5 linked regions of the Macaca mulatta genome follow. The protein of the gene in region 3 interacts with the protein of the main gene of each other region in a pairwise test. Links are inferred from orthologs where the notes say so. Each region holds a gene or a part of one and is shown on either strand. Other genes may lie near its edges.

Evidence for each region.
Region 1: the proteins of UBE2E2 (region 3) and ZNRF1 interact in a two-hybrid assay, tested with the Homo sapiens proteins (2 studies listed by BioGRID and IntAct). The link is inferred for Macaca mulatta from reciprocal best matches to the Homo sapiens genes UBE2E2 and ZNRF1.
Region 2: the proteins of UBE2E2 (region 3) and ARRDC3 interact in binary tests that used the Homo sapiens proteins (3 or more experiments, as listed by UniProt). The two-hybrid records come from large-scale screens. The link is inferred for Macaca mulatta from reciprocal best matches to the Homo sapiens genes UBE2E2 and ARRDC3.
Region 4: the proteins of UBE2E2 (region 3) and TRIM39 interact in binary tests that used the Homo sapiens proteins (3 or more experiments, as listed by UniProt). The link is inferred for Macaca mulatta from reciprocal best matches to the Homo sapiens genes UBE2E2 and TRIM39.
Region 5: the proteins of UBE2E2 (region 3) and RNF103 interact in a two-hybrid assay, tested with the Homo sapiens proteins (2 studies listed by BioGRID). The link is inferred for Macaca mulatta from reciprocal best matches to the Homo sapiens genes UBE2E2 and RNF103.

The regions. Positions count from the first base shown.
Region 1 is NC_133425.1:70,322,626-70,326,923, forward strand, and holds the start of ZNRF1 (E3 ubiquitin-protein ligase ZNRF1), read left to right. Parts: upstream 1-1,498; 5' UTR 1,499-1,917; coding exon 1,918-2,341; intron 2,342-4,298. UniProt on the Homo sapiens protein: E3 ubiquitin-protein ligase that plays a role in different processes including cell differentiation, receptor recycling or regulation of inflammation. Mediates the ubiquitination of AKT1 and GLUL, thereby playing a role in neuron cells differentiation.
Region 2 is NC_133411.1:97,758,163-97,762,093, reverse strand, and holds the start of ARRDC3 (arrestin domain-containing protein 3), read left to right. Parts: upstream 1-1,131; 5' UTR 1,132-1,346; coding exon 1,347-1,626; intron 1,627-3,514; exon of another isoform or gene 3,515-3,931. UniProt on the Homo sapiens protein: Adapter protein that plays a role in regulating cell-surface expression of adrenergic receptors and probably also other G protein-coupled receptors.
Region 3 is NC_133407.1:25,286,035-25,290,177, reverse strand, and holds the start of UBE2E2 (ubiquitin-conjugating enzyme E2 E2), read left to right. Parts: upstream 1-1,343; 5' UTR 1,344-1,348; coding exon 1,349-1,524; intron 1,525-4,143.
Region 4 is NC_133409.1:152,701,602-152,705,876, forward strand, and holds the start of TRIM39 (E3 ubiquitin-protein ligase TRIM39), read right to left. Parts: upstream 2,801-4,275; 5' UTR 2,218-2,800; exon of another isoform or gene 1,648-2,217; intron 1,563-1,647; exon of another isoform or gene 1,518-1,562; intron 315-1,517; exon of another isoform or gene 295-314; 5' UTR 161-294; intron 1-160.
Region 5 is NC_133418.1:37,767,045-37,771,232, reverse strand, and holds the start of RNF103 (E3 ubiquitin-protein ligase RNF103), read right to left. Parts: upstream 2,801-4,188; 5' UTR 2,710-2,800; intron 2,364-2,709; exon of another isoform or gene 1,804-2,363; coding exon of another isoform or gene 1,578-1,803; intron 1-1,577. UniProt on the Homo sapiens protein: Acts as an E2-dependent E3 ubiquitin-protein ligase, probably involved in the ER-associated protein degradation pathway.

The DNA.
Region 1 (4,298 bases), on a different chromosome or scaffold from region 3:
TGGGCTACAGAGCAAGACTCCATCTCAAAAAAAAAAAAAGAAAGAAAGAAAGAAAGGAAAAGAAAAACAGGCCAGGTGTGGTGGCTCACGCCTGTAATTCTAACACTTCGGGAGGCCAAGGCGGGCGGATTACCTGAGGTCAGGAGTTCAAGACCAGCCTGGCCAATATGGTGAAACCCTGTCTCTACTAAAAATACAAAAAATTAGCCGGGTGCAGTGACACGCGCCTGTAATCCCAGCTACTCAGGAGGCTGAGGCAGGAGAATCGCTTGAACCTGGGAGGCGGAGGTTGCGATGAGCCGAGATTAGGCCACTCCACTCCAGCCTGGGTGACAGAGTGAGATTACGTCTCAAAAAAAAAAAAAAAAAAAAGAAAAAAAAAGAAAGAAAAAAAAGAAAAAGAAAAACAATTGTTCGCTGAATGAATGTGAATATAGGAGAGAAAGACGGACTGAGGTATCAAAGGAACCCTCCCTTGCAAAATGATGCAGGCTTGGTCAACAATACACCTATTGAGTACCCACCGTGTCCTTGGCCGTGGTGTAGGCCGAAACACAGAACATGGTAAACAAAACAGGGCTCCAACCTTGGACAGAAGGTTTCTATAATCACTTCTAGCTACGTAGTTCTATTTCCATATCCATATCTATTCACATTTTATGGTACCTCTATTGGTTCTGAAAATTACATTTTAGCTAAGGAATCTACTCATTTGCTTAAGCCCAAAATAGGAAGTTCTGACCTAGTGTCAGCAACACTCCGGATTCACAAGTGTCCCCATGGCGCTGTTTACCCCCAAATAGCTAAACCCCGCCAAATGTTGAGATTCCGGACCTGAGGGGTGCTTGGATGGGGAACCCCCGAAAGAATGGACATCACGTCCACCAGAGGGTGCTGTGGGGGCAAATTTGTGCCAGGAGGGGAGCTCGACTGGTGACCCTCAGAGCCAGGTAGGCGTAAGGAGTAAATCTCCTTCTTCCCGGTGTTTCCTTCCCACCCCCTCGAACCATTGCTGCCCCTCCCCCATACGTGGTTCCCCCTGAATAATTTGCCATTTTCGGGGACTTAAGAAGTGTTTGCTTTTCAAAGACATCTGGTTTCTGTGGCTAACGCCCAGTGGCTCAGGCCGCCCAGGTCACAGGCCGGCCGGGGGCGGGCGGTGGGTGGGGACTGCTGGGGCGTCAGCTGCCCGGGCGCCGCAGGGGCCGCGAAAGGGTTAACCCGACGGGGGGAGGGGGAGGGGGCGCAGGCCGCGCCTGCGCTCTGCCGCCCTCCATTGTCTCCACGGCGGCCAGGAGCGCCGGCAAGCGCTGCCCGGGACCGAGCGGGGTGGCGCGGCTGGCGGGGCCGGCGGCGACTGAAGCGAGAGCGCGACACGACGCGACCGCGGCTTCCCGAGCTGCGCCTGGCCGCCCAGCGCCGCGGCCCGCCCGAGGCCTGGAGAGGTCCGGGCCGCCGTCCATGGTCGCGGCGTCCTGAGGCGGGGGACGCGCCTGGCGCCCCCGGTCCTCCTCCTCCTCCCGCGGGGCGGGCGGCCTCCTCCGGCGCCTCCCCGCGCCCGCCTGCCTCTCGCCGCCGCCTCCCTCCCTCCTTCCCTGCGGCTCCCCCGGCTTTCGGAGCCCGGGGGCGGCCTGTGGCGCGCGGAGCCCGCGCCGGACTGCGCCTCTTTGGACCTTGAGGGGAAACATGCGTTTGGCTTGGATCGTTTGAAATTCTGAGTTTGGGATCCCCGCCCGCCCGCCTGCCTCTTCCGCCCCGCGGGTTTTTTCCTTTTTTCTTTTGCTTTTTTCTTTTCTCCCTTCGGGTCTCCTTTTTGACTCCCTCCCTCTTTATGCTCGCCCAGCCCTCCCCCCGCTGCTGAGAAGTGGGGGAGGGTCTCGGCCTCCAGGTTCCCGCCCCACCGGGGCCCGGGCGAGCATGGGGGGCAAGCAGAGCACGGCGACCCGCTCCCGGGGCCCCTTCCCGGGGGTCTCCACCGATGACAGCGCCGTGCCGCCGCCGGGAGGGGCGCCCCATTTCGGGCACTACCGGACGGGCGGCGGGGCCATGGGGCTGCGCAGCCGCTCGGTCAGCTCGGTGGCAGGCATGGGCATGGACCCCAGCACAGCAGGGGGGGTGCCCTTTGGCCTCTACACCCCCGCCTCCCGGGGCACCGGCGACTCTGAGAGGGCGCCCGGCGGCGGAGGGTCCGCGTCCGACTCCACCTATGCCCATGGCAATGGTTACCAGGAGACGGGCGGCAGTCACCATAGAGACGGGATGCTGTACCTGGGCTCCCGAGCCTCGCTGGCGGATGCTCTACCTCTGCACATCGCACCCAGGTGGTTCAGCTCGCACAGTGGTGAGTCCACGGTGGTGGAGGCCTCGGAGGGAGGGCGCGCCGGGGCGCCCCAAGCCTTCGCGCGCGTGCCAAGGTTTGGGAATATAGTGCACGACCGGGATCTGTCTGCCTTCCCTTTGGTTCCCGATGCCAAGGGATGAATGGGATACCTACCCTCTGGGAACTAGGCTTTCTGCAAGGTTGCGGAGCCTGGCGATGTAGGACTCCCGGCGTGTGTTCACTTGTGGAAGGGCAGAGCGAAGCCTACCTATTGGAGTCCCATTTATTGGCATCTCCCTCCTCAGAGAAGCGGTCTTCTCTGGCTGAGAGCAAGTCAGCCTGGGTGCTTCCATTCTGCCACTGCAGCACTGTGCCTGCCTCACCAGTAACGGAGAGATGGAGCCAGTTGGAGCAAGCAGTGTCTCCAAAACAGAGAGTATGAAAATGAAATAAAATTAGGGGCGAGTGATGCCTGGATTAGGGCTCTCACTCTTGCTGGGAGAGAGAGGTGCCCAGTTGTGCCACCCTGCTGGAGATCTGTTTGAAATGTTTAAAATGGAGCAGCCGGCAGGCGGCTGGCATAGACAGGTGTGGCTGCTGTACGGAGGGCCCAGCCGGCGAGTCTCGCGGGGGCTTTGCAGGACCAGGGCTCTGGTCACCCGTACTGCATGCAGCAGACTTGGCTCCACGACTCTCACCTCCCTCCATCTTTTTTCTTCTGCTCCATGCTAAGTGCTTGGTCTTCCCGTGAATCTGCATCTTTTTGTAACAGGGAGCCTGTCAAGGTGGGGCATTATTGCCTGACTGTTGGCACATGACTGGGGGAAAGGAGGATTCAGAGAATCTGGATGAATTCATTTTATGAACTTCTGGTGACAGGCCAGCAAAAGGTTGGAGGGGGATTTCCCAGGCTCCTACTGGGAGGGCTAAAAAGGCCTGGCAGGAGGAAAACAGGTCTGTCTGCTAGGTCAGGCTTCTAGAAAATTGGCCAAAAGGTGTGTGGGGCCGCTGTTTGCTAATTGGCAAGTTGAGTGAATAAGTTACATCTTAAGTTTCTTTTGGGTGAGTTGGGAAAATTTAGATATTGTGTAGGGGAAAGATTGCTCCTGCCTTTAGGGTACTTTATGGAGGGTAATATCTCGTGGATCACTGTTTTACCTACTGTGAAATAGAGTTGACTTTTGGGGTATCGCTTTCCCCCTCCCTGCAAATATCCTGGGGTTTGTTTTCATTTGGTTCGGTTTTTTGTCAATTCTATAAACTATGTGAAATAGAGTTGGGGGACGAACTGTTAGTGACTAATTTAGGGTAACCCTTAGAAGTAGCTTGTGAATTGTTAGGATGATATTTTAATCTCTGAACAGACCTCCGGATATCATTGGAGCTTTTCTGACCTCATCGAACTCTGACCTGAATGAGATGCAAAACATGATTGCCTTTGGCTCTTTCAGGCATTTGATCAAAATTAGGCATTTTGAAATTAATAATCTTTCCTATGAAATTTAGTTCAGAGAGTTAGCCATATTTTTGAGATGACTGGTTAGGTGTTTAAAAGAACTGTAATGAGCATCTGGTTTTGAACTTAAAAGCACTATACGAAGTTTCTCTAAAATCACAGAATTTTGTGTGTTGAAAAACATGAGATATGTAGGGAGGAAGAAAGGGAGTTTTTTTTTTTTTTTTTTTTTCTGAAATTTCTTCAGTCTGTCTCTTACTAAAAATTTATTTATTATGCTACTGCCAGGTTCCATGCTAAAGTTATGAGCTTATAATTGGATTCCAGAATTTCAGTCCTAAGCTGTGAAAGCTTATTTTTTTTCATCCTGTTATGGTGAGAGTAGGGAGAGCCACTGAACTGTGGGGACAGGAAAGTTGGAGCACATTAATCCTTTGGGGAAGGGTGTCAAAAGCGTGTATGGGAGGCTGCTATTAATATTGTAGGTAATCTGTTCCTTACTGTGTAGGACCATCATGTCCT
Region 2 (3,931 bases), on a different chromosome or scaffold from region 3:
AAAATTAAAGCTTCACAGTTAACCCCTATTTATATACCAAATCATGCTTTTTAAAAACAATTTTATGCGCTTCACTAATTTCTAACAAAGATTTTCCGATTCTGTTGCAAACAATATGTCAGCTAAACCACTATGTCCTATGCCTTTTATAAGATGGTACTTTTTTAGGCCGAACTCTATTCTTATTCCTCTGGACACAGGAGTTGTAATCATGTCTTACTCTGCAAATCTAGCCGTAGGTGGTGTCTTAAAAAGGACTTTTTCTTCCTTCGAGGAAGTGGTCAAGCTTCCCCCCAGCCCCCACCCGTGTCATCCTGGAAACAACTTGGTTGTTTTTCGGTGCTATCTAATTAAGCGATGTAGGAGAAAGAAGTTGAGGAGACAAAAAAGCCTATTGATTACATTGTACTTGCTTCTCTACCTCGCTCTTCAAAGGACTAAGGTTCCTTTGACCTCGACTGAGTTCATTTCCACCCTGCCTACAAAGTACTGGTTTAAAAAAAAAAAAAAAAATCCAAGCCAAGTATGCTCTTGTCTATGAACAATACTTCTTGTCCAGTTTTATTACATTTTCTTTGAAAATTCGTTAGATTATGCTCAACAATCGGCCGCTTGCCCAACCGGTTTCTCCCTTCCCCCATCTCTCTTCACACATCACTTTTTCCTCCTCCCATCCAGGCAGTTGGTAAAACGCTGCAGTGCCAGTAACGCACGCTTTGGGGTGGTCACTGCAGTTTATCCTTACTTGGCTTTGCAAACTCCCCACCCAGGCCTTGTCCCCTCGCGCCCCACTCTGCCATTATCTTTCCAGTAGAGTGTGCTCGGTAAGGGGCTCCAGATAGCACGTCGAGGGTATACGGCAGCCTGCCTACCAATAGGAGCCCACAATGAAGAGAAGTCAGGTTCAGCCGGCCGGCAGCTCCAGTATCTCCTTCCCCTAACTCTACACCTACTGTACCCGGGAGCGAGCGAGCAAGGGAGGGAGCGAGCGCGGCGCGGCGCGGCGCGGCGCTGGAGGGGGCGCGCAGGGAGGGCGGACAGCAGCCGCGGCCTGCGCTTGCGCATTGGGGTTGTTTTTCACAAAGCTGCTCTTAAAGTGAGCTGGCAGCCTTTAGCCGCCCGTCTTTGTAAGGAGACCACTGAGACGAGCGGGAGCGCGGAGCAGCAGCTTCTGCTGCCCTGACTTTTTAAGAAATCTCAATGAACTATTTGTAGAGAATCACTGATCCGGCCTGCAAGCATTTTGCACGGCAAAAATATCGATCAGTGTTAAGTGAAGATCACATTTTATATGCGATCTTGACTTTTTTGTCTTACATTATATTTTTATAGATTTTGTTATAAACATGGTGCTGGGAAAGGTGAAGAGTTTGACAATAAGCTTTGACTGTCTTAATGACAGCAATGTCCCTGTGTATTCTAGTGGGGATACTGTCTCAGGAAGGGTAAATTTAGAAGTTACTGGGGAAATCAGAGTAAAATCTCTTAAAATTCATGCAAGAGGGCATGCGAAAGTACGCTGGACTGAATCTAGAAACGCCGGCTCCAATACTGCCTATACACAGAATTACACTGAAGAAGTAGAATATTTCAACCATAAAGACATCTTAATTGGGCACGAAAGAGGTAAGTTTTTCTGTTATTCAGAAGTCATTGGACTCATTTTCTTTGGAAACGTACCTTTTCAGTTTTCTGAATTAACGTGATTCTACTCATAGTATAACTAAGCAGTTTGATAAAGGTTAGCAAAGTTGGAAGGTTTGGATTCCCCTTGACGTTCATCGTGTGTTAAGCCGTAATGCATGCAGGCATCTGCAAAGTGACTGCAAACTACACTTATTCAACTACCTCTATACCCGGCTTGGTCTGTGCCATACGCGCTTGTAGTCCATTTGCACCTTATAAATTCTGCTTGAATCCAATGCAATCGTTTTACTAATATATTTTCAAATGAATTGCTAAAAGCTGCAGTCTTAGATTTTTGCCCTTTTACTTGCAACCTAAGATGTAAAAACTAAACTTCAATCAAGAAATGTAATAACATTTTTAAGAGGCTTAATGGGCGTGTTTCATTTTTAATTTTGGAATGCAAAAGACTTTAAAGAATTGATCACTGTGCTTTCATAAAAGGTTTATGTGGCTTATTTTGACATATGGTATCAACACCCCACGTGTTTTTTCTCTATTCTTTCCCATTCCTTTAAAAATTTACACCCAGCATTCCTTATTTTAAAGGGTACTGTCTGTCATTATGATAGGTATCGAGTCAGTTTTAGAAGCCATTTAGGATCAGTAATTTTCTTTTCCGAGCATCATGTCTAACTTTGGAACGTGCATTCAATGAAACCCATGCCAGTCAAATGGAATTGAAAAGTATAGGGCACACTGGATTTGATTTTTGGTTAGAAGAGGGAGATAAAGGGTTGTCAAAGGGAGAAGGAGTCCTGAGATTTCCAATCTATTGTTTAAATGGTTACATTGTGGAAATATAGGAGAGTCTAGGCTTGTTTTTCTAAGTTTCCACCCTTTGTTAGAAGCGGTTCAATCCTGTTTCGGACCAGTTCTGGGGGGTGGTGAGGAGGGGCGCTTGTTCTGCTCTCAGCAGATTGGTTACACGCGTCAGGTGGTGGCGATGACTTAATTCCTAGCCCAAGAAGAATATAATGTTAAAACTGGTTATGTAATTTTTGTGCCTCTCCTTTTTAATGCAGTATTTAGTTCAGATGTTGGCGATTTTTCAGAAAAAAATTAGAGCCATATTTTACCTTCTTTTTTATATTAAAAACGTACATCCTGGAGAGGTGCTGATGACTGAACTAAGGCAAGTGAGAAATGAAGGATGCTTTGAGGGGCAGTATTAATGCATGATTTCTGAAACTATTAAGGTGAACTCAGTTCTTTAGTAGGATTTTCGTAGATACAGGTACTTTGCATCCTGAAATAACTAATTAATGTCTCCAAGCGTTAACACTGATAGGAGATGCAGATGCCTAATGACAGTCTTGGTATTTGTTGAAAAGCAGATAGATGAGTTTGTGTTTCTACCTTTCTGAATATTGCAGCCTTTTATGAAATGGGTGAAAGAAACAGATTTTTCTTCAAGAGGTTGAGACTTGCAATGGGGGAAAAGTAGAACAATGAGTTGTGAGGACAAATATTTCATTAGTTACACCATGATTTCATGGTAAAGAAAACTAAATGCCCTGCACCCCCAACAAAATGCCCCCCCCCCCAAACCCTGCAACGCGTAGACGAGCTCAGTCTGGAATAGTTTCAATGACTTGAAACTGGGAGCTCTCAAACTAGCCTGGTAACTGAGACCCCGCCCCGGGCGCCCGGGATAGGCGGAGCCAGGTTTGTTAGCCTGTTGCTAAGGCGATGGCAGGCGCTGATTGGATTGGGCGCGGGCGGGTGGGGAGAGGGGGCTCGCGCCGCTGCTGGGGCGAGGCTAGGAAACCGGCGTGCGCCGGTAAAGGTCCCTCCAGAGAGCCACCCCCACCCAGTCCATACTCACGTTTGTTCCCGGGCTTCTGGGGGCGCCCGGCCCGTGTCACATCACGTTCTATCGCCCCTCTTTTGGGCCTGCTAAGGACCATCGAAAGGAAACGACTTCAGGCTTTAGCTGAGTTGAGGGCAGACGCTCCTGCCGGCCTTACAGGTGCCGGATGGCCCGGGACCCAACTTTAGTGGAAAATCCTTTTCAGATGGAATTTGGATGGGAAGGGTTGGCAGGACCCCCGTTAGCTATCTGCCGGGTAGGAGGTGTCAGGGGACTCCTGTGAACGCTTCTGAAACAAAGCGTGTTCCCCGACCTCTCCAGTAGCCACACTGGCTACCTTGAGTTGACCTGAGGGGACAGAGCAGAGGCTGGCCCGGGGAAGAAAGAAAATGATTCCAATATCGAAATCTAGGTGGGGGCTTCGAAGGGTAT
Region 3 (4,143 bases):
CTCAGAGCAAAGGGAATTTGAATGCCTTGAGGGATATTTTAGCCAGACTGTGGGGAAAAGAAAAAAAAAAATTCTTCAGTGTCTCGCCATCTCTTGTGAAATATGGTTGCTTTAGTATATAGCTGAATCAGTGCTGATGCCGTCGTATGGTTCAATTTTTATTTAGAATCATGCAGTCATGCAGGCCTCTGTGTTCTTCTGTTATCACAAAGGTTACTTAAAACAATTTACTAGTTTGGAGAATTTTAACCTTAGCCCAGCTCTGAGGATGTATTGATGGAATAGGGATTTGAAAGAATCCTCCCATTTTTCTGTTCCCACAACTATTTGTACTAACCTTCGTTTTTGTACTTAGCAAGTTGGCTAGTCCAGGTTTTTCACAGTTGTGGGACCAAAGGGTTTAGCACAGCACCTGGTAGAGAGTAGACCCTTAGTCATTTTTTTCTTATTTTTTGTAACAGCATTATTGATATGTGATTCACAGACTATAAAATTTACCGTTAAAAAATGTACAACTCTGTAGTTCTTAGAATATTTATTATTAGAATTGAGCAACATTATCATTATCTAATTTAAGAACATTTTTATCACCCCACAGGGAAGCATCCTACCCATTAGCAGTCAGTCTTCACTGCTCTCCCCTCACTCCCTGGCAACCACTTACCCATTTTATTTTATTATTATTATTATTTTGTTTTGAGACAGGGTCTCTCTCTGTCACTCAGGCTGGAATGCAGTGGTATCAATCATATTTTTATTTTTTGTAGAGATCGAGTCCTGCTATGTTGCCCAGGCTGGTCCTGCCTGGGCTTCCCAAAACATTGGGATTTACAGGCGTGAGATTTACTACTGAATTTGATGTTTATGAATTTGCCTATTCTGGACATTTTATCTAAATAGTCAGCTTGTGGTCCTTTGTGGCTGGCTTCTTTCACTTACAGAATGTTTCAAGGTTCATCCATTTTGTAGCACGTAGACACTGTATTTCATTCTTTTTTATGGCTAACAGTACATTATGTGAATATACTACTACATTTTGTTTATCCATTCATTCGTTAGTGGATATTTGAGTTGTTTCCAGTTTTGGTTATTATGAATAATGTTGCTGTGAACGTTTCATGTATAAATTTTGTATGTTTTTGTTTTACAATACATTTTGAATGGATGAAGGAAAAGTTTTAGCAAGTCCCAAAGCTGCATTGTTTTGTAAATGACCAATTTAATCCGTTTTATATTGAGATTTACTTGTTTTACTTTGAGATTCATTCTCTGTGTTCTGGAGGTAGCTTACTGTAGTCGTCCTCACAGCTGAATAAATGATTTTTGATTCTTTAATCCAGGATCTAAAATGTCCACTGAGGCACAAAGAGTTGATGACAGTCCAAGCACTAGTGGAGGAAGTTCCGATGGAGATCAACGTGAAAGTGTTCAGCAAGAACCAGAAAGAGAACAAGTTCAGCCCAAGAAAAAGGAGGGAAAAATATCCAGCAAAACCGCTGCTAAATTGTCAACTAGTGCTAAAAGGTATCTCAGTTATTATAACCTTTTTATTTTTGGTATCAGTTTATCATCTTAAGTTCTATTTTTCTCTTGCATTTAATCATTTTTTCCGTGATTGTCAGCCATGAACTTCGTGGATTTTTCTTTCCCTTTCAAGATGATCTCTTTTACATGGTTTTAGCCATAGGGAACTTCAGTATTTAAAGTCAGTTAAATGGCATGGCAGATTCATAAAATACATTTCCATAGTGTGTTTGTGTGTTTGTGTATTATTAGGGAAGCATATACAGGGCGTGCATGTAAAGTTGCAGTGGTTTCATTTATGGTTACTTGACCATAAATATTTTTTTTCTGTTCCGTAACACAGAATAGAGATTAGGAATCTTTTGAAGTGGTTATTGAGTGAGTGATAGTTTATTTTCCACTACTCCCAGTTGGTAGAGTCAGAAATGCTGACATTAGCGACAAGTGCATCTTGGTTTCATTACATTAGTCAGTGGATCCATCTTGATACAGATTTTTCTCTTTCTCTGGAGAATAGATGGATCTGGAAAGTAGGTATTTGAATGGTCTTCTTTTGGTACATCAATCTCTTAAAATGATTGGCATGTCAATGGACTTAGAGGGAATCTGTTTTGATATTGTTACATTATAGAATATCTCTTGGAAAATAATTTGAAAGATAAAGTAGTGTCTTTTGTGATCCTGTGATTTTATGTTCTTGCTTTGTTTTCATATGTTTTATATTGCCCAAATAGGAAGTATAAATAAAAGCAATCTGTAACTTTTAGGCATAGTGGAATGCCTGAATGTTGAATTACAGCTTTATATGTTATTTTATGGTGTGGATTAAGGGGAACTCCTTTCTCAAAGATAAGAAATCATTATTATGTTCTAGTAGACCTTGTTTCCCTTTGGCTTAGTCAGTCTACAGGATTGGAAAGAACCTTCTCAGGCCCCTTGGTGAGAGATGTTGGAGGATGGTGAGTGGTTATTCCAAGGTACTAGAGTATTCAGTTTCCCTTTCCTGGGGGTGTATTGCTGATCTCTGTTGAAGGAGCTGTTTGAAAGTCAGAGAGCCCTGAACTTTAAACTTTTAGACCTGTGTACTAGAACATGCCAGGGTGGGGAAGAGGGTTCAGTTTGTTTTGCCATCACACCGCAATTACAGGGGACTCAGCTGGCTGACCCTTCTGTTGCCAGACCACGACACAAATGACCTGCTTAGAGGTGACCTGGGAAATGGGGGGTGGGGTTAGGATGGATAAGAAAGGTGAGGAGTAGAGAAAATGTGACATTTAGGTGAAAGAAGGAAGTCGATGTGGGTGGAAAGGAGATGTTCAGGTACAGATTGTAGTTCCATGTAGATGCGGAAAATCTAATTCAGTCCTCAGTGTCTGATTGGGTTGTTACAGGGCCTTTTCAGTTTGTCAGAAAAGGGCAAGGATTGGTTGGCCAGGTCCTTGGGGAATAGGGTTCTGCTGGGCCTGTGCTTTATTTTGTGATTGCTAGTTAGCAAAGTTACCTGTTGTGGTGAGGCTCTGCCTTTTCCCCTAACTGGGAGCACCACTATAATATACCTTAAAATCATATTTCTTGCATGATATGCCAAAGATCAAATTCTGCTTATGAAAGATGTACTGCTTTATGTGTGAACATGAGTTTTTCAAGTACATGGGTCATCTTTATTTTACTCTACACTATATGTAGAAAGTACAGATTATTCAAACCTAATGATAGATTTCATGAGGGAAAAATACGGAAGATGTGTTTCTGCTCTGTACATAGGAGATACAACCTAGTTTAGAGATAGTGTATGTACAGAGCACAGGACAGTGCCTGCCTGCCAGTAAATAGTAAGTGGTTGTATTGCGTTGGTGAAAGTAAGAAGTCTCTTTTGAGTTGCTTCCTGGCTGAAAGAATCCCTCTGTTGGCAAATTCCTGTGAATCTGTGATTTTCAAGTTGTGGTTCATGATCTTCCTCTAGAAAGGTCTTCAGTTGGTTTTTGGGTGACACTGTATGAAGTGATGTAATTATTTACTATTTATTTTAAATATAAAAATGCGGCTTTGCTACTAATTTTTTAATTAAAAAAAAAACTTATTTTCCCCTCTCTCTTCCTCCGATTCAGCTGATAGGGAAGTTGTTGGTTCTTTGCCATTTCTGCTTAACTTAGGAAAAAAATTGGGAATTATGAGAACAGAGGACCCCACATCTTTTAAGTTCACTGTCATATCCACAGTACCTAGCAGAGTGCAGTCACAATATTTACTTACTGGTTACCTTGGAACCCTGAGCTTATTTTAGGGATTGGATTTTCCATGGATATTAGCATCTTAGTACTAGTGTGTTCAGAAGATTAAAAGTTAGAGGTAGTTTCAAAATAAATTTTATTTCACACTTTTTTGTTGATGATCATTTTTATTCAGATGAGAAGTCTTTCCCAAATAGTGTCATTTTATGAGAAAGAGTAGCATTGAAGAGCTTGAACTCTAGAGACAGGATCTACGTTTGAATCTAGGTTCTAGCATTTAGTAGCTATAGCTCTGTGGTCTTTTTTTTTTTTTCTTTTTCTTTCTTTCTTTTTTTTCTTTTTTCTTTTTCTTTTTTTTTTGAGGCAGAGTCTTGCTCTGTCACCCAGG
Region 4 (4,275 bases), on a different chromosome or scaffold from region 3:
ACTCCAGATTTGCCCAATCTTGTTATTCTCCATCTTCTCTTTCAATCAATTCAATCTCTTTGTTTCTCCATTTCCAAAACTTGTGACTCCCAGCCATTAACCTTTTTTTCTTGTTAGTAAACTGACACACAACCCCCAATTTATCTATCTTGTCTCTTACCTCTGCTTTCTCTTGTTAGAAAGAGCAGCTTCCTTCAACTCTAGCTCAGCATACTTCTCCTGATCCAGGTTCATTCCACTTGTATCTTAGAACCAATAGTTCCAGACCACTGTATCCTCGTTTGACATACGTTTCTAATAGATAAGAAAGGAATCTGAGAAGTAAAAAATGTCATAAAAATATTAACATTTCTTAAATTAAGCATATTTTAAAGTTTAATGTTATAAGGGCTTTATGATGAATCCACTGGAGTCTAAGCTTGATTCTCTGACACTGTTCTCTCATTCTTCTAAACCACAGTATCCAATCTTTTGGCTTCCCTGGGCCCATTGGAAAAAAAAGTATCTTGGGCCAGACATAAAATACATTGACACTAATGACAGCTGATAAGCTAAAAAAAAAAGAAGTCCATGCATAACTTTTGTTCTATCAGCCACCACAAAAGGTCCATGCATAATTTTTGTTTTATCAGCCACCACAGATAAGTAAAAAGAGTCCTCCCATTCAAAAGGTTAGATACCAGTGTTCTAAAGGCTAACAAATGGAATGAATGAAGCAAAGGCAACCTTCTCTTTCCAGGAAAATCTGAAATTATTCTTCCTTTTATCCATCAGACTAGCCTAAAGGAAGTCTGCTCTCTTCTTGGAATAACATATTTCATGCAACATTCCATTTCTATTGTGTTCATTTGGACACTCAGAACTGCTGAAAACTGATAAATTATGGCAACTATATTAAATAGTACATTACTGAGCTCAGGCCAACAACTTCTTGTAAAGAAACAAGTCTATTTATAGTGACTGGAATCCTTCAATATAACTATTGATAACTAACATCCTGGGCATACTGTGTCTCCAACTAACAGGTTCTGGAGTGGTTGGGAATTAAGAGACAGAAAAGAGGCAATGAGATCTCCCTCAAGTGCAGCCTCAGAAGAATTGGAAATGCATAAGAGAGATTTATAAAACACAACGCTGGTCCCCCACTCCATCTTAAAACGTCGATACTTTTAGCCATGGGTAAGTTGATGTATCTATCCCCATAACCCTTTCTCCTCCTGACCCCCATCCTTCTCTAGGGACCTACTGGAAGGAAGGAAATTTGGTAAATCTATGTGCTGAGAGATAAGTGGCCATGTAATGAGGTAGGTTAACAACAATTGTTCCTGTATATATTGTTGGCACACACAAATGTGTTTGGAGTAGGAGCTGATAACTTCTTTGGACTTGAATTTTTTCTGTCAGCAATAGGAGAGAAGTTCAATCAGATGATTTCTCTCTACCTGTGGAAATCCAACTTTGACTTGTGGTGACCCTACCCCTTCCTCAGTCTTTTACAAATTAGGTGGCCTCCTCACCTGAGATGAGTAGAACTGTATGCACAGTAAGGCACCAGGACAGATCTAGACTGGCAAAGAAGTGGTGAAAGAAATGGGGAAAGGGTTCGGGAAGAATGGAGAGGACTCTAAACTACAGTCATAGTGAGACCTTGAGTGCCTCTGGGTTAGTCCTTCGTCTCCCTCTACTCCTTGTGTCTCAGCTGAAGGGCAAACTTCAGGGACGATCTCATTTTGTTTAAACCACTGTTCAGGGTCCCACCTTGCGACCCTGTCCTGAGAGGTTGTCCACAACTCTGTCCCACCCCCGTCTCCATTTTCTTCCGCCAGATCTGGGGCAGGGGGATTGGAGAGGGGAAAGAGGAAACGTCGTTGCTGGCAGGGTAGGGAGGGATGCGTGTCCAGGTGAGGAAGAGGTGTGACGTGAAGGTGGGATGCCCGCCGCTATGACGCAGCCGAGACCCGCGGTGACTGCGTCAGAGTTTCACCCGGGGAGGTGAGCAGCAGCGGGACGGGGGAACGGCGGGGTAGCCAAGCAACGCCGGACGCGCTGACGTCGCCGGGGCGGCAAAACGTCCGCCCGGGCCCGAGGCGGGCGGAGGCAGCTGTGGTTACGTGCGGGGGGCCGGTGACGCAGTCGCGGGGCGCTGGGACGCGACTTGCGGAGCCGGCCGGCGGGGGCAGGCCCCAGACTCGGGCGCGGCGGCGGGACAGCACCTACCTTCCCGGCTTCGGGTCCGGGAGTGCGGGGCGCGGAGCCGCCGGAGCGCTGCCTCCCTCCTTCCTCCTCCCCTCGCCCCCGCCCCGCGGCGCGACACACAATACTCGCCGGAAGCGGAAGCCGCGCCGAGGCTCGTGTCAGTGGAAGCTGGGGTGTCGGCAGGCAGCAGCGGCCGGGTCTAGCGGTGGCTGCGGAAGGAGGAGGTGGAGGAGGGCTGGCGATGAGAACCAGCAGGAGGAATCAAGGACAAGAAGGGACCCAGAGGGGCAGGTGGCTGAGATGCTGGCGTCCAGGTGACCCGAGGAATCCTCTGGAGATAGAGGCCCGCGCATGCGCGTGCTCGAGCGCTGAAGCCCATGGCCCGCAGGGCGCTGGACGGGCGCCCCGGCCGGCGAGGCTGTCCCGTCCAGGCTCCAGGCCCCGGCTCTGGCCAGGCGCCGCCGCTCCCCAGTGCAGCTGAAAGTCGACGAAGAGGGCGGGGCGAGGGCGGCTTGTGGACTTCCACACTTTTCCTCTCTTCGGGCCAGTCCGGGGAGAGGGTGGCTAGCTGTGGCGGCGGCCAATTACGTGGCGGACCTGCGGGGCTCAGCTGGCACGTCACTTCCGACTGGTGGAGTTTTAGCCTTTTAACATTCAAGGATTAGGTAAGTTCTCCCCCGGGTAGACTTCAAATACTCTTTGTCCTGCCCCTGCTTGGCGAAGTTTACCGAAATTATCTACCTACCCCGCTGGAGTGGGAGCCGGGAGAGAGCTGGAACCGCGACTCTGCTGCTCACCTTTGTGTCCTTAGCTCCTTCGCATGGGGTCCGACCGCAACACGTGCGCTGGATAAACGCTGGTTAACTGGGTGAGAGCCCAGGCCTGTTCTTTCTTCTGGGGCTGTGACTTGAGTTTCTCCGCAGGAGCAGATAGTGTTTGTGTAGGGACTGCGGACTTTTACATTACAGCCTCCCTGCTTTGCTCGCTTGCTGCTGGAAGCTTAGCAGGTCCTGTGATTTTGGAGGAAGTGGGTGAGGTGATGAGGCCAGGAAGAGTATGCTGGGAGAGGTGTCAGGGGCCCGGGAAGCGGTGATGGGGCTGGGGAGGGGTTAGTAGTGGGTAGAGGTGTGAAGAGGCTGAGGAGGAGGGGTTAGTGCTAGGAGGGGTGTGACACGGCTGGTAGAAAAGATAGCTTGCTCCGCCTCCCCGCCCCCAGCACTAGTCCTGGAGAACATTGATTGAAAGAGATGAGCAAATTTTGATGTACTCTCCTTGGTGAGAAAGTGCCCTAATTTCCGGTGTAAGTTGTGCTGCTGTTTACAAACACCCTGCATTATTTAACCTCTCATCTTGGGAGCCAGAAACTATTTACTTGTAGAAAATATCCAGTATCTAAGGTATAAAGATTTGGGATCACACATGCTAATTACAGTTGTCTACCTTTATTATTCCTTTTTTTGTGCCAACAATTGAAGAGGATTAAATTTGAGAAAATTACATTTGATACCTTTTTTTCACATTGCTATGTAGCCATTAGGGATTTTAGCAGCAGCAGTTGTTCTAATTCACAAGATGCCTCACTTGTAAGGGTAGTTTGAAAGCCACTAACTGGGCGGTGAGCCTCCTTAGCCTTGGCTTCGGAGGGAGAGTGAGATTTGGTTTTGATTTGTTAATTTGTGGCGCATAAGATGTTGATAACCCTCCTTTCTGGCGTTCGGTTTGTAAATAACCAGGAGGATTGTGATTAGACTAAGGAAATTAACAAGAGGAGGTCCAATTCTAAGGATTATGAAGAATGAGCTTTCCTAGAGACTGATATTAAGGGGATTTTACGGGCCGGGCGCGGTGGCTCAAGCCTGTAATCCCAGCACTTTGGGAGGCCGAGACGGGCGGATCACGAGGTCAGGAGATCGAGACCATCCTGGCTAACACAGTGAAACCCCGTCTCTACTAAAAAATACAAAAAAACTAGCCGGGCGAGGTGGCGGGCGCCTGTAGTCCCAGCTACTCGGGAGGCTGAGGCAGGAGAATGGCGTAAACCCGGAAGGCGGAGCTTGCAGTGAGCTGAGATCCGGCCAC
Region 5 (4,188 bases), on a different chromosome or scaffold from region 3:
TTTAACTTTTGCCTTAAATATTAAACAGTGAGAAACCAAGCACTGCACCATGATAGCAGCAAAACCATTCACAATAAACACTTAAATTTTTAAACCGCTATACCATGACTTTTCTGCCATAAAATGTGATTTGAGTCATATTGGGCTGTGCGTCTTAAAGTTATATGTGGACACCTAATACATTCAATGTGCCAAGTATTTTTAGTCCCGAAAGAAGGCAATAATAAATAACTGTCAAAAGAAAAAATGTGTGATCAAATTATTTTCCATAAAAAATGATGGCTTTAGTAATTAAGACACTTCTCATCTCTAAACCAAGAGAGTTTATTTAGTAGAGATCTTTTACCCTAGTTACTCCACTTCTTCCCCCTATGGTAAAAATAAGAATCACCATAAACCAGCCAGCAAACAAGGGGCAAGAATAATACACGATTTTATATTTTCTCTAACGAAATATTTATCACTTTTGCAGAGTGGGTTCCTCTCCTCTATCCTAACAGTGAGATACGAGTTTTATAACCCACAACCTACAAATATCCAAGTGTTAAACTGCTAGCTAGTTCATATTCTTGTCTATCACGCTACATGTCTATAGGGTACTAAAGAAGGAAAAGATTTGTCTTGTAAAAGACAGCTGACAGAAATACTTGAAACAACAAAAAAAGATAACCATCAGTTTCAGCTGCTCCCTACAGCAACGCAGAAAGCCTTTCTCAAATTACATTCCACTTTCAGGAAGTATATCCAAACAAAGGTATACTTTGTCCAGCAGTGAAAAAAAGTAATCATATTTCTCACCCAATCCTACCAAAACCAACAATTACGAAAAACACATTATTTAAGACATTGAATATTCTCTCAGGACTATTTCACTTATATTTCTCAACCCATTAAACAATGTGCCTGTGACACAGAAGACAAAAAAAAACTTTTTCTTACATCCAAGATGCAAATTTAAAAAAATCCTAACAGAAATATAATATAAACTAGAACATGGCAAGCATTTATACAAAATGCTCATCTTACTCAGACTTACTCGCCTTTTCAGACTTAAAGTCGGTGTACACTGTCTATATTCAAACTCATGATTTAACTAACATTCAAATCCTAGGCCCAAGTGCCTCTGATAGTAAGTATTCCAAAGATGGGTCCCCACTCTGGGTACCTTATTATTACTATCGTGACAAATACTACTATTGACAGACAACGTTTTGGAGTTTTTCTTACGTTTTTATGAACTTCAACTGACAAATAATGCTTTCCAGTTTGTAACTAGTTCATATTCCCGAATTTTGAGAAAATCACTCAACTTAGTAAACAACGCTAAGAAGCCACACTTTAAACTGTCATTTTACGACAACCTTAAAAGGATACACCAACACCCCTCCAAGTAATTTCAGCCTCCTCCTCAAAGCTGGGATCCGCATACTTGATTGTAGAAAGCTTGGACGAAGCAACCTGGGCAGCTTTAACCCTTCCAGGGAAGGCCTCACTCTGGGGGAACAGCCAGGTACCAGGAGGTACAGGTCGTCCCCTCTCCCAGGTGGAGGGGGCCCTAGGGGAAGCTCGATACTCGCCTGACTTTTCCACCAGCTCCCGGACATCCTTCTTCTCAGGCAGCCCTGAGTAGCCCAACCCTCGGCACTCCAAAATGGTCTTCAGCTTCTTGAAGCTCAGCGCCACTGGATCCACCAGCTGGGTGGCAAAGATGCCAGTTTCATACCACACAATGGCTTCAAAAAACCTGGCCAGGACGAACAGGACCAGGAAATAGAGGAGCAAGAAAAAAAGCTTCAGCCACATCTTCCCTGGCGTCTTCTCTCTTTCCAGAGAGCTCGGAATACGGGAGAGAGAAGGGTCGAGGGCGGAGGCAGCGGCTCGGTGGCAGCTTGGGCGAGGGCCCCGTGTCCACGCGCGGGCCACCCGGCGCCGTCACTGGCCGGCCATCCGCGACGGGGAGGCAGGTGACGGGATCTGCGCGGGCGTGAGGTGGCGACGAGGGACGCAGAGGCGCAGAGCCTCGCGCCGGGCCTCCCAGTCAAGAGGCGACAAAAATAAATGGGAAAAACTCACAACCGCCATCCATTAAGCACCGAGAGGCGAGGGGCGCGGGGAGAGCTCACGGGAAGAAAACGAGGGACGCTTCCCTCTGCGGGGGACACTGACCCAGGTGGCGGGGTCGGCCCTCCGGCGCCGCGATCTCAAGGGGGAGGGGGAGAGACCAAAAAATAACTCAGATTCGCCAGGAGCCGGAGATCCGGGCGGCAGGCCCGGGCCCGAGGGGCCGTGGGGGCCGGACTCCCGCGGCCGCGGGTCAGGAGGGCGCGGCGCTCGGCCGGGCCAGGCCTGGGGCCCAGCGTGTCCTGCGCGGGGAGGAGCGACCGCCGCAGCGCCGCGCCCGAAGCCCAGGCCCCAGGCCCCGCCGACCGCCCAGGATCCGCGAGAAGCACGGCGGGCACGGCGGCGGCTCCACGTTAGCTCGGGCCGGCTGGCGGGCGGCGCCTCTCAGGCAGGCGGGCACCGCGGCCCGGCCCAGGATGGGGCGTCGCGGTCCCTGCAGAGGGAATCGGTCTCGGTGGGAAAAAACCAATAACAGGCCCTGAGACTGCTCCTCCAGGCGGCTACCCGGCTGCCTCCCGGCCACTCAGCGCCTGCCCCGCTCGGATGGGCGGCGCCGGTCGCGGCACGGGTCCCCAGCACCCCCGCCACCTCCGGAGGCCGCGGCCGTAGCCTCCACAGCCGTAGATCAGGGACGGCCGCGGCCGGAGCTGAGACACAACAACTGACGTCGGGACGAGGCGGGGCTGGGGCGGGGCCTGCAGGGCAGGCCCGCAGGGGCGGAGGGCGGGGAATTCGGGGAGCCGCGGGGCTCCTGGACAACCGAGCAGAGAGTGGGAGGAGAGGCGGAGCCCCAGCCTGGTCGGGGCCTTCCCGCGGTGCCGAAAGTTGCCTGTCCGTGCTTTTGTTGCGTGGTCTCCTCTTTTGCCCCGCCAATGTTTAGCAATTGATTTCGTCTGAGTATTAGTCTTTGGACTGTATCACTTTGTGTATTTTCTGTAAAAATAGAGCAGTTAATTATTCTCTTAAAATCGATAAAAATAGAAATATACGTTTTTTGATGAATCCTGGTGAACAGCGAAATTTTTGGCACAGTTGGTTTGAGATGGTAGAAGGTTAAACCCAGAAAGCAAATGTTTTGCCCCCTCTTCATGAGAATATGGCTTTGCACATGTGTGTTGGAGGAGGTTTGGCCAAAACTGGAGTTAGCGTTATCCTAGGCCCAGTTGTCGCTGCCAGTTATAGCCTTTTCCCTCCTTCAGTCTCAGGGGTGTTAAAAGCCTGGTGTGAACTCCCTGAGTTCCTAGGACAAAGGTTGTTGAATGTTGATACGTCCAGGTGCAAAGTTCTGGGTGCTTTATTTTGTACATGGGCCGGGCGCGGTGGCTTACTCCTGTAATCCCAGCACTTTTGGAGGCCGAGGCGGGCAGATCACGAGGTCAGGAGTTCGAGATGATCCTGGCTAACACGGTGAAACCCCGTCTCTACTAAAAATACAAAAAAAAAAAAAAAAAAAAAAAAAAAAAAAAAATTAGCCGGGCGTGGTGGCGGACGCCTGTAGTCCCAGCTACTCGGGAGGCTGAGGCAGCAGAATGGCGTGAACCCGGGAGGCGGAGCTTGCAGTGAGCCGAGATCCTACCACTGCACCACATCCAGCCTGGGTAACAAAGCAAGACTCCATTTCAGAAATAAATAAATAAATAAAATAAAAATAAATAGTCACATGGACAAGCATGCGATACCCGATTCTGTGCTTATAAATTTAACAGGGCTGAACGTACTCTTTACCTCAATCTCTGTCAGTCTTGAGGGAGGAAGGAGTTGGGTTCATAAATTGAACCAGGTTGTCTTTGACCAGCCGCTTTTGATAAGGAAGGAAAACAAACAAACAAACAAAAAGCAGGAATTACTGGGAAATGTGACTATTTGTGCAAAACTATCAACTATCCGAAACTAGGGGTGACAGTTTTAGAAAGAAAGGGATATGATCCCGGGTCATGGAGCAAGTGAGGAACGAGAAGCAAAGAATGGACTGTGAGAATGTAGCCTCCGAATGGTGCCCATTTAAAATAAAGTGAACAAGGGCGTTTCAGTGCCGGGCTGGTGGGGGAGGAGTTGGAAGGGGCTGGG